3 linked regions of the Pelodiscus sinensis genome follow. The protein of the gene in region 2 interacts with the protein of the main gene of each other region in a pairwise test. Links are inferred from orthologs where the notes say so. Each region holds a gene or a part of one and is shown on either strand. Other genes may lie near its edges. The genes, in order: RNF20, HTT and PPARG.

Evidence for each region.
Region 1: the proteins of HTT (region 2) and RNF20 interact in binary tests that used the Homo sapiens proteins (3 or more experiments, as listed by UniProt). The link is inferred for Pelodiscus sinensis from reciprocal best matches to the Homo sapiens genes HTT and RNF20.
Region 3: the proteins of HTT (region 2) and PPARG interact in binary tests that used the Homo sapiens proteins (3 or more experiments, as listed by UniProt). The link is inferred for Pelodiscus sinensis from reciprocal best matches to the Homo sapiens genes HTT and PPARG.

What each region holds. Positions count from the first base shown.
Region 1 is NC_134716.1:7,957,256-7,961,003, reverse strand, and holds the start of RNF20 (E3 ubiquitin-protein ligase BRE1A), read left to right. Parts: upstream 1-1,289; 5' UTR 1,290-1,392; intron 1,393-2,209; exon of another isoform or gene 2,210-2,231; intron 2,232-3,383; 5' UTR 3,384-3,437; intron 3,438-3,748. UniProt on the Homo sapiens protein: Component of the RNF20/40 E3 ubiquitin-protein ligase complex that mediates monoubiquitination of 'Lys-120' of histone H2B (H2BK120ub1).
Region 2 is NC_134715.1:116,691,107-116,694,854, reverse strand, and holds the start of HTT (huntingtin), read left to right. Parts: upstream 1-1,372; 5' UTR 1,373-1,411; coding exon 1,412-1,512; intron 1,513-3,748.
Region 3 is NC_134721.1:47,574,754-47,578,501, forward strand, and holds the start of PPARG (peroxisome proliferator-activated receptor gamma), read left to right. Parts: upstream 1-1,035; 5' UTR 1,036-1,155; intron 1,156-3,748. UniProt on the Homo sapiens protein: Nuclear receptor that binds peroxisome proliferators such as hypolipidemic drugs and fatty acids.

The sequences.
Region 1 (3,748 bases), on a different chromosome or scaffold from region 2:
TTATATTGCACAATGCAATTTTTAAAAAATAAACGGCAAAACAAATGTGCTGCCATCAAATTAACCAAGTAGCCACAACACATCAATTTGATCTGAGGAAGTGGGTCTGGGCCACGGAAGCTCATCACCTAATAAACCATCTTGTTAGTCTTTAAAGTGCTGCATAGTCCTGTCTTTTGTTTCAGCTAGACCAGACTAACAGGGCTACATCTCTTTTACTATTTCACAACACCTCGATTACCCCCACCCCACCTCTTTCAAGACTACACTTGAAAGAGAATCCTCCCAGCTGTCATTCATGCTTAAATTCGACACTTTACATCTAAGTTTGAATAAAGACTCTAATTATCTTGCCCATTACAAAGATAGCGTCCCCAATGATCACTAGCTCCCAGACATTTACCCCCCGCAGCCTCCTTCTGTTCTGAAATGTGATTTGTCCTTTTCATATGTGTTCATTTTTTTAATTGTATCCTATGGTTGTGACTATTTTCTTCCACTATTTGATCTGAAGTATCAGAGGGGTAGCCGTGTTCGTCTGAATCTGCAAAAGCGACGAGGAGTCCTGTGGCACCTTATAGACTAACTGAAGTGTAGGAGCATAAGCTTTCGTGGGCAAAGACCCACTTCGTCAGATGCATGTACATGCATCTGACGAAATGGGTCTTTGCCCACGAAAGCTTATGCTCCTACACTTCAGTTAGTCTATAAGGTGCCACAGGACTCCTCGTCGCTTTATTTGATCTGAGGAAGTGGGTCTGGCCCAGGAAAGCTCATCACCTAATAGCGCTGCATAGTCCTGTCTTTTGTTTCAGTGACACCAGACTAACAGGGCTGCATCTCTACCCCCACCTCGCTGGTGCCTCCCTCCTTTCCCCCCGGCTGGCTGGTTTGCACCCCCGCAGCTGCAGGGGCTAGTTAATATTCCAAGGTATTTAGGAAGTGGGGAGCCTAAATGCATTGGAGGAGCGAGGCCATGGGGTCGCCTACTCCCCCAGCTGCTGCTCTAGGTCCCCTGCTGTACCCCACTCGTGCCCTCAGCTCAGCCACGTCCCCTGACAAGAGGCAGGGCTGCAGCCGCCATGTCAATGAAGGGCGCCTGACTTCGAACCCCTAGGAACCAATGAGAGGCGGTAGCCATGGCAACTAAGGGCAGAGCGGCGGCAGAGCCTGTCAGGCGGTGGGCGGTGGCCGCCCTGTTGAGGAAGGGCAGAGTGGCTTCAAAGCCTCTGGCAGGCAAAGGGCGAGGGCAGCCATGTTTGTTGAGGGCACGCTGCCGGGCGACAAGCTACGTGAGACGCCGGCGGGGATTGGCTGAGCTGCTGTCACCGGCCGCTTCCTGCAGGGTCAGGGTTGGGAGGCCGGAGGTGAGGCCCGGTGGCTGGGCCGGGGGTGAGTCTCGGGGCTGGGGTGTTGCGGGGAGGAGAGGGGGCTTGGCCCGTGGGGGAGGGGCAGGGGGCTTGGCCCGTGGGGGAGGGGGCTTGGCCCGTGGGGGAGGGGCAGGGGCAGGGGGCTTGGCCCGTGGGGGAGGGGCAGGGGGCTTGGCCCGTAGGGGAGGGGGAGGGGCAGGGGGCTTGGCCCGTGGGGGAGGGGCAGGGGCAGGGGGCTTGGCTCGTGGGGGAGGGGCAGGGGCAGGGGGCTTGGCCCGTGGGGGAGGGGCAGGGGCAGGGGCAGGGGGCTTGGCTCGTGGGGGAGGGGCAGGGGCAGGGGGCTTGGCTCGTGGGGGGAGGGGCAGGGGCAGGGGGCTTGGCTCGTAGGGGCAGGGGCAGGGGCAGGGGGCTTGGCTCATAGGGGAGGGGCAGGGGCAGGGGGCTTGGCTCGTGGGGGAGGGGCAGGGGCAGGGGGCTTGGCTCGTGGGGGGAGGGGCAGGGGCAGGGGGCTTGGCTCGTAGGGGCAGGGGCAGGGGCAGGGGGCTTGGCTCATAGGGGAGGGGCAGGGGAAGGGGGCTTGGCCCATGGGGGAGGGGCAGAAGGGGAGGGGGCTTGGCCCCTGAGTGTGAGGGGGGTCGGGGGGGGGGAGTGGGGAAGTGTTCGCGGAGGGGGGGGCAGTTGGCCCCTGGCCTGGGGTAAGGGGAGCGGAGGCTCAGGCTGGGGCATGTAGGATGGGGGAGTGTCAGGGGCAGGAGGGGCTTGGCCCCTGGGCTGGGGGAAGGTGGGCTGTGGGGTATGGGGGAAGTAAGAGGAGGGGGACTCGCCCCTGGGATAGAGTAGAAGGATATCAGTTAGTTGGAGGTATGTAGGGGTCAGCCCCTGTTCTGTGTCTGGTGGGGAGGGGCAATATCAACGCTGAACTTGGGCTGGTTGGGTGAGGTGACTTGATCAGTGGGGGCTTTTTGGGGTGTGTGTGTGAGGGGGAGTGATGGGATAATCGCCCCTAAGGGTGGGGCGGTGCACACAGATATTTTCTGAGAGTGGTATTTTTTTTCTGTCAGCCTGTTGGTTTCTGTTAACAGTGCTCTCTGTGGAAAAAAACATCCCACAAATAACAAAAGCATGCTCCATTGAAAAAGAGGGACATTTTTAAACACAAGGAACTGAAAATCTTCCTTCAGTCACATTTTAGAGTGAGAAGGAGATGGCAGTGGGAGGATTCAGCTCATAGATGTTGGACATTTTAAGGTTCTTTATAAGACATTTAAAAGATGGTATGGACCTGCTATAAAAGTCTTGGAGAGATTTCAAAACATGAGACACTTGAGAGGGTCACTGTCAAGTTAAAATAATACATTGCAAACTAAGGGTACATCTAGACTACATGCCTCTGTCGCCAGAGGCATGTAGATTAGGCTACCAGACATAGTAAAATGAAGCGGCGATTTAAATAATCGCTGCTTCATTTAAACTTACATGGCTGCTGCGCTGAGCTGACAAACAGCTGATCAGCTGTTTGTCGGCTCAGCGCGATAGTCTGGACGCGCGGGTGTTGACATCAAAGGTATTTGTCGACCACCCAGGTATGCCTCCTGGGATGAGGTTTACCTGGGTGGTCGACAAATACCTTTGACGTCGACACCCGCGCGTCCAGACTATCGCGTTGAGCCGACAAACAGCTGATAAGCTGTTTGTCAGCTCAGCGCGGCAGCCATGTAAATTTAAATGAAGCGGCGATTATTTAAATCGCCGCTTCATTTTCCTATGTCTGGTAGCCTAATCTACATGCCTCTGGCGACAGAGGCATGTAGTCTAGATGTACCCTAAGTCTCTGATTGAGCAAAGCACTTAATTCACACACTGATTTGCTTTACTCACATATGCTTTCAAAGTAAGTGTCTGCATGTTTGCAAGCGAATTCCTTAGCTGTATTAGAAATACCGCTGTAAAATGGAAAGAAGTTTAAAAATCTGTTGATACTATATGTTTTGTTTACTTTTGCTTTTTGTTCAGCTTGTAGGTAGAGGCACATCTTCAGCTCCTGTGAATGGGCTCAGCATCAGAGAGGTTAGTGGAACTGTGGCCATTTACATCATCTGATGATATGGCCCTAAAAATTGGCTAGTCTGTTTCATGAAGGTTCACCTGTATTGGCACAGTCTTGCAATGTTTGGGTTAAAAATATTTCCAGGACATGTTTGTTTGTTTGTTTAACTTCAGTGGAGGAAAAAATCCTGTAATAGAAGTGGTGGTCTTGAGTTTTGAAGATTACTATTTTTAAAATGATTTGGGGGTCAAATTAAAATACTAACCTGATAACTAGTTAACTGAACTCTTGGCCTGGCTGGAGCATCCCTCCTCCCGCAGCGTGGTGGACA
Region 2 (3,748 bases):
AAGTTTAGTATTAGTATTATTACAAATTTAACAAGTGTTCATAAAATAGTTTGCAATATCAATTGCCTTCTAAGAGAAGCTGTGGATAATTGTGTATTCAGTTAATTACTAAGTGCAATTTGTTGTATAAAAACATAATGGAGCCTTTTCATTAAAATAGTAGAACTTTGTGGCCTGTTTTTGCAGAGGGATCATTCCACAAATTAGTGCCCATTCCTGCCTTAGCCCTTGGATGCATGCATGTTGTTCAATTTTAAACCTACAGGGATGATGTCATTCAACTCAACCTTAGGATATGGGTGTATTACAGCAGCAAGTGTATGCCGCTAGAGTACTGTACCTTGTATGCTTCCTGGATCTATGGAAGTGGGTTTTTCTGAAGTTCTGAATTACATAATCCACTTCTGCAACAGGTAGCAGAGTCCTTCCACTGCTTTAACTCAACCTTACCCTTGCTCTAGACATATCTAAGTCTAACTTTCAGAGAACAAACTTATTTACGCCCTGAGCTCCATTTCATTCGCAAATAGGAGTGTTCACATCAGAATTTTATGGGCACTAGCTTCTTGTCTGTCATTAAGTCCCCTGTCATGTTCCTGACTATTAAAGGACAGACAACACCATGGGGCCTGAACCTAGTAGCAACGGAAATACAAGATCTGGGTGTAGATGGTCCCTTAGGTTGCTCTAAGTAGGGCATACCCCCAGCGGCCCTCGTGCAGTCTGCTGTGCGCTGAGGATCATGGGTTGTGGGAGCCCAAGGGAACGAAGCCAGCACCATGCGACCGGCGGACTCTGGCAGACCGGCCCAAGTTTGACATGAACCAAAGGGGCACTAGGACCCGACAGCGACTTTCGCGAGAGGAGGCGGGGCAGAACGGAGTGGTTGGGGGCGAGGGGAGTGCGGATGAATGTATGCCCTCTCAACCAAGTTTGTGTTTATCTGAAGGGTGACCCAGCCTCCCTCGCTAGTGGTGATTTGGCCAGTATTCCTGAGCTTCCTTTCTGATTGGTGGTTGAGGCTGTCACTCTTTAGTTTTCCAACCCCCTCCCTGAGGATAGGCCGGGTTCAGGGGCATGCGCGGGGACCTTTGCTCTCGGCCGGGCAGGGAGGGTTAGCGTGGGGGATGATGGGAGGTTTCCAAAATGGCGGTGAGGCGGTTTCGAAGTGATCGCAGACCCCTGCAGCGTCTCCTCCATTCATTGCAGTGACGAGCGGCGGCGCGTGCGGACCCCGGCGGCTGCAGACACGGCGGCGCGGCGGCCGGGGCGCGGCAAGCGGAGAGTTTCTGAGGCCCTAGGAGGGGGCAGTCCGTGCGCTGAGAGGGGGCAGGCTCCACGCTCCCGGGCGCTGCGAGGCGGCTCGGGGAGTCCGGTCCGGGCGCTGCGATTGCCTGGCCCCTGAGGGAACATGGCCACTATGGAGAAGCTGATGAAGGCCTTCGAGTCCCTCCGCTCCTTTCAGCAGCAGCAGGGTCCGGCTGCCATTCCCGAGGAGCCGCTCCAGAGAGTGTGAGTGTGCGGCCGCGGGGCGGCCAGGCTAGGTCGGGGGCAAACCTAGGAGGGGACCATAGAGCTTTCTTAGAAGCTGCCGCCCCAGCAGCGGGGGTGGAGTGGGCGGGGGAAGGGACGCCCGTGGGGGGGCCTGCCACTGGTGGGGCGGATGGGCCCTTGATGTTGTCTCTTGAGCTGACGGATGCGTGGCGGCGGGTTCCAAAGCAGTTGGGTTCCGTTACAGGAACCCAGCAAAAGGCTCTCACCAGAAAGAAAAGGTTTATTAACCTGCTCCGCAGTGAGGGTCGCTCCCCCGAGTAGAGCAGCAGCTTCTTTAGGCCGCTGCTATCTGCTACGTAGATATATACACACACATACATACACCTCGTGACAGCCAGGGAGCCTCTCGCATGCTCTAGCGAACTCCTGGAATAATAATAAATAGTAATTCACGTGTGTGCCCGCAAAGCAAGGCTGGTATTCTGTACTCAGCTGGCCTTTTCTCATTGGAAGAAGATAATTTAATAAAGTATCCTGGTAATTGGGTATCCAGAGTCTAGCATGTACTGAACTTTTATTTTTGAGGGGGAAAAAGAAGCTTTATGTGAAAGATCCTTGGTCGGTAGTTAGGTTTGTTTTTCTTAAAGCAGCAGTTCTGTTAAAACAGACAAATTATTATAGTAATTATGATGTATACTATAAAATGTGAACTATGAGACTGATATGGAGGAATGAATAACTTTAAAACAGCTAAAACAAAATACAGGACTATATAGCACTTGAAAGACTAACAAGATGATTTATTAGGTGATGAGCTTTCGTGGGCCAGACCCACTTCTTCAGATCAAATAGTGGAAGAAAGTAGTCACAACCATATATACCAAAGGATACAATTAAAAAAATGAACACATATGAAAAGGACAAATCAAATTTCAGAACAGAAGGGGAATGGGGAGGGGAAGGTAAATGTCTGTGAGCTAATGATATTAGAGGTGATAATTGGGGAAACTATCTTTGTAATGGGTAAGGTAACTAGATCCTTTGTTCAGACTCAGGTGTAAAGTGTCAAATTTTAGCATGAATGACAGTTCAGAGGATTCTCTTTCAAGTGCAGTCTAAAAGGCTTTTGAAGCAGGATGCAGGTAATTAAGTCGTTGAGACAATGTCCTTTCTGGTTGAAATGGTAAGAAACTGTTTTTCTTTGTGATCCTAATATCTGTTTTGTTGGCATTGATCCTTTGGCGAAGTGTCTGAGATGTTTGTCCAATGTACGTAGCAGATGGACGCTTTCGGCACATGATAGCATAAATTATATTTCTGGATGCACAGGAATATGTGTTCTTGATCTTATAACTCACTTGATTGGGTCCAATAATGGTATTGCAGAGTGAATATGTGGACAAAGCTGGCAATGGGGTTTGTTGCAAGGGAAGGTACCAGGGTTGGTATTAGTGAAGTATGTCCAGTTTAGTATCCTGTTCCAGTATGGGCTGTAGTTTATTGATAATGTGTTGGACAGGTTTAAGTTGGGGGCTGTAAGTAATGACAAGTGGTGTTCTATTGTTGGTTTTCTTGGGTCTGTCTTGAAGTAGATGGTTTCTAGTCTGGCTCTTTCAATGTGCTTTTTTATTTCTCCGGGTGGGTAGTTGAGGTTTATAAATGCTTGGTAGAGATCCTGAATTTTCTGGTCTCTGTCAGTGGGATTAGAGCAGATGCAGTTGTATCGAAGGGCTTGACTATAGATGATGGATCGTATGGTGTGTTCTGGATGGGTACCCTGGGTTGGAATTGCATCCCCAGAACTGTCAGCTGGCTGTGGCTTTGGGTGCTGGTCCATCCCCCAGCAGGACTCAGGCTCTCTTCTCTCCCCTTTCAGGCTTCAGTCATCTCCATGTCATTATCCCCACACACTTATTTTTTAATAAAAGTCCTGAATAGGTCCTGGGAAATAAACAAAAATTAATTAAAGCCCATAACCTGTCTGTGAATTTTACTAAAAATAAGTGTCAAATTCTTAACCTTAATGATGACTGTTCTGGACTCTTAACTATAATGCTTGGGTAGAGGATGAGTACAAGGAGCTGTTCAGTGCTACAGTGCTGTAGTAGCACAATCCTTGTGATTTTCTTTTTAAAGTCTTGATGGAGCAGGTGTAGAGGGCCCCAAATTAAAATCTTTATTGTCTAAATGCTGAATGTAGAAAACGGTGTTCTTCCTGATTCCCAGAGTATGAGGGAAAACGGAAGGGCTGTGG
Region 3 (3,748 bases), on a different chromosome or scaffold from region 2:
CGACAGATACTGTCGAAAAAGAGCATTTAGACTACAACCTGTACTGTCAACAAAGCAAGCCACTTTTTCGAAAGAGTCTAGATACTCTCTTTCAAAAAAGCAGTTTGCCTGCAATAGTGCCTTTTTTTCCACAGAGTGCTATCGAAAAAAGGCATGATTCCTCGTAGAATGAGTTTTACCGCCGTCGACAAAACTGCCGCGTTCTGTTCACTTAGGGTACGTCTAGACTACCGCGTTTTGTCGACGGAAGTTTTGTCGACAGATACTGTCGACAAAACTTCCGTCGACAAAGAGCGTCCAGACACATTGAGTTCTGTCGACAAAGCAAGCTGCTTTGTCGACAGAACTCCGTAGTCTGGACGCAATGTTACAGGCAATAACACCTTCTGTCGACAGAAGGTGTTATGCCTCGTAAAATGAGGTTTACCAGTGTCGACAAAACTGCTGAGTTCTGTCAATGTTATGTCGACAGAACACAGCGGTAGTGTAGACGCTGGTATAGTTTTGTCGACAAAAGTCCACTTCTGTCGACAAAACTCGGTAGTCTAGACACACCCTTCCTGTCGATAGAACAGAGCGGTAGCGTAGAAGCAGGTATAGCTTTGTCGCCAAAAGCCCACTTTCAGCCACAAAACCCTGTCGTCTAGACACAGCCGCCGTTACACTTAAGAAAAGACCCGCAGAGTTCAGCTTTCAAAGGCCGTAGGGGCCAAAATCTCTCTTCCACTACACATCTGTAATTTCACTGAGATTCTCGAGGCTGCATGGGCAGGACTCGCCGGACTGTGGCGATGGGTGAGAGGAAAGAGAAGCCACGCATCCCACACACTCCCTAATGCCACATACCCCAGCTCTCTTCGTGCCACACGCCTTTCTGCGCCCTGGCCCCCGGCCCTTCTCCACCGTCCCCCTCAGGGTCCCCTTTCCCGCCAAGGCTCCAGCGCCGGGAACCAACGGCCCACGCTGCCGCTCGCGCAGGAGGCCCCCAGCCAGGGCAGGGCAGCGCGGCCCGAGGCTCGGGGAGGGCCAGCAGCAGGGCGTGGAGGCGGCGCCTGCCGAGCAGGGAGGCGGCGCCCGTCGGGAGGACGGGCCGGGCGGGGGAGTTTATCCCACTAGAAGGGAACAGTTTCTCCTGCCGAGGCTTGACAGCGCCAGGTCAGTGCGCGCGCGGCTGCGGGGTGCTCTCTGCGGGCAGGGAGGGGGGAGTGCAGCAGACGGGGGGGGTCTCTTTGGAGTGGAGGTGGACAGGGGTGTACCCCGGGGGCGGCTGGGGCTGTGGGGGTGGGGAGAGGGACATATCCCTTGGCGCAGGAAGCAGGGCTGTGCTCCGGGGGATATTTGGGGCTGGAGGCAGGGGGCTCTTTGGTGGGGCGGCTTGATGAAGGGGGGGGGCTTCATGGAGTGCGGGCATGGCGGCACGGGATGAGTGAGGGAGGATGGGGCTAGTGCCCACGGGGGGGCTCTCGCTGGCCAGGGCGCTGCTCCCAAAGGGGCTTGGGGAGGAATAAAGAACTTGGTGCATGCAAGCCCCAGGGGGAGCTGCGACCTTGGGGGCATCAGGGGGCAGTGAGATACACACAAGGCTTTACCTTTGGGTGGCCTGTGGAGTTAGGAGCATAGGTTGGTCTTGGGTGCTGTGTGATGAAGAGGTGGATTATACTGGTGGGGGCTGAGTCTCATGCAGGCAATATAAAGGGTGGGGATGGTAAATATCAGTTAATTGAACAGTTGATTAACCTCATGAATTCTTAGCAGATACTCTACTATTCTATAGTTCCCCGGGGATGGGGCCAGCAGCCAGTATGTTCCGGCTCCACTCCCGAGGAGCCCCCTGCAGTCCGCGCTGCTGTCTCTGTACGCGGGGTGCCAGGCGGGAGATCGATTGTGAGGCGTTTCAGTTTAAAAACTAGCTCCCCTAATGGAAGAGCTGCCTGTCACCCCAGAACTGAGCTGGCCTGCCTGCCCGCCTGGATCCTAATACACTTTAAATGCTGAGCTGCAGCGGGGGTTGATCCCGGAGGCCAGCCTGCTAAAAAATTTACTGGTGGGAGTGTGTGTAGTCTATAGCATTAACCAATAAGATTTTGCTTATTGGTTGATGAGTGAATTGACTATACTGTTACGTCTCTAATAAAGTGTATTGGGGATAGGCAGAGGGACAGGGTAAATGAGTGCTGTATGAGGATGTGGGAATGCACACAGAGACATACGTCCATTATTGCTATATGTGTGATATTGAGGTATATAAACAATAAACTGTGAGCCTCTGGTACATTGTGATATTTGCAGGTGGCTATTTCCCTTGTTACAGTATGTGGAGAGGGGAAATAGCTGGGGAGTGTTACTCACTTTACTTACCTGATAATGAATGAAAAGCATCATTTTCTCTTTGACTTCTCAATCAAGAAGAGTCAGGAAGTCCTGTGTTTAGTCATGCCACAGCAGAGATATTATGTTGAAATATATTATGTATGGGTGGCATCCCCCAGGCTTGCAGTATTTTGTAATCCTCCTGGTGTCATTTCTCTCCACGGTATTCTATAGCTGGGAACTGCAAGTTCTTGTAGTGTTATAACTTCAAGGCAGTATATGCACATGATACAGTGCTGTGATAGTATTTTATTATAACATTATATCATGAAATTAGACAGATATCTATGTGTAGCCATTTGGAGGTAAGCATAGGAAGTTATAAAGAAATGATCAATTGTTACTTACCTTTGGACTTATTATTTAATAGTCTTGATACATTTAAGTTAAATTAAAAAGATCAATTATAATTGCCCAGATATTTAAACAGAGAATGTGGATTGATACATTTTGTTTGTGGCCTACTCTCTACATCTCCAAAAGAGTTGTTTGTCTGGAATGTTACATTAATGTTTGTCGGAAATATGAACCAATGTTCAAAAATATATTTCCCCCTACAGTCTACCTACGCATAATAATATGCATAGAGTAACTTTTTAAAGATGATAATAATGCATTACTTGTTAGAAGAAGAGGACCCAGTGTGGCCCCTGGGGTACACTGGAACTTGTATAACTTGTAGTTCCAGTCTACCTTTTCAAACTAGTCATGTCTATTGTTCCCTTATTGATATTAGAATATCTTGTGCATAGTTATAGTGAACATTTTTATGCCCTCTAACCTACTGGAGATTAGTGTGAAAAATTAGCAGAAATGTAAGTATGAGACAATGAAGAATCACTTTTAAAAAATTCTGTGCAAAGTAAATTAGAATGTTGTCAGTTGGGGGAGGTATTTGATAAAATGGTCAGACCTAGATGTTCAGATTAGCAGGTAAACATCAAAATAACTGTGGATAGGTATTCTAATAGGAGCTACTTTCAGATTTAAATCTTCTTAGACATCAGTTTATTAAAATATTGCATTATTGGTTTACATTTTTATATATTCCTGTGAGTAGCTCTAGAAGAAAGCATCCATTCCTTGATAAATAATACTTGATCTGAAAGGTATGTTATGCTGTGTCAGATGTTAGTGTAGCATGAAAAGTTTGTCATTAGATATACTTTCTATGAAAAAATATTCTCTTCCTCCCTGTTAAGTATTTAATATAGTCAGACGCCACAACAAAAAGCCTATAAGATGGTAACATTGATCAATATTTCGGCTTCAGTTTTTAACTTTTGCGTTATGATACCGATATTGACATAGCTTCTGAATCTAAGTTTTTTCTACTTGACTTTTCTTTCAGTTTCTATAGATCAGTTCCTAAATTCAG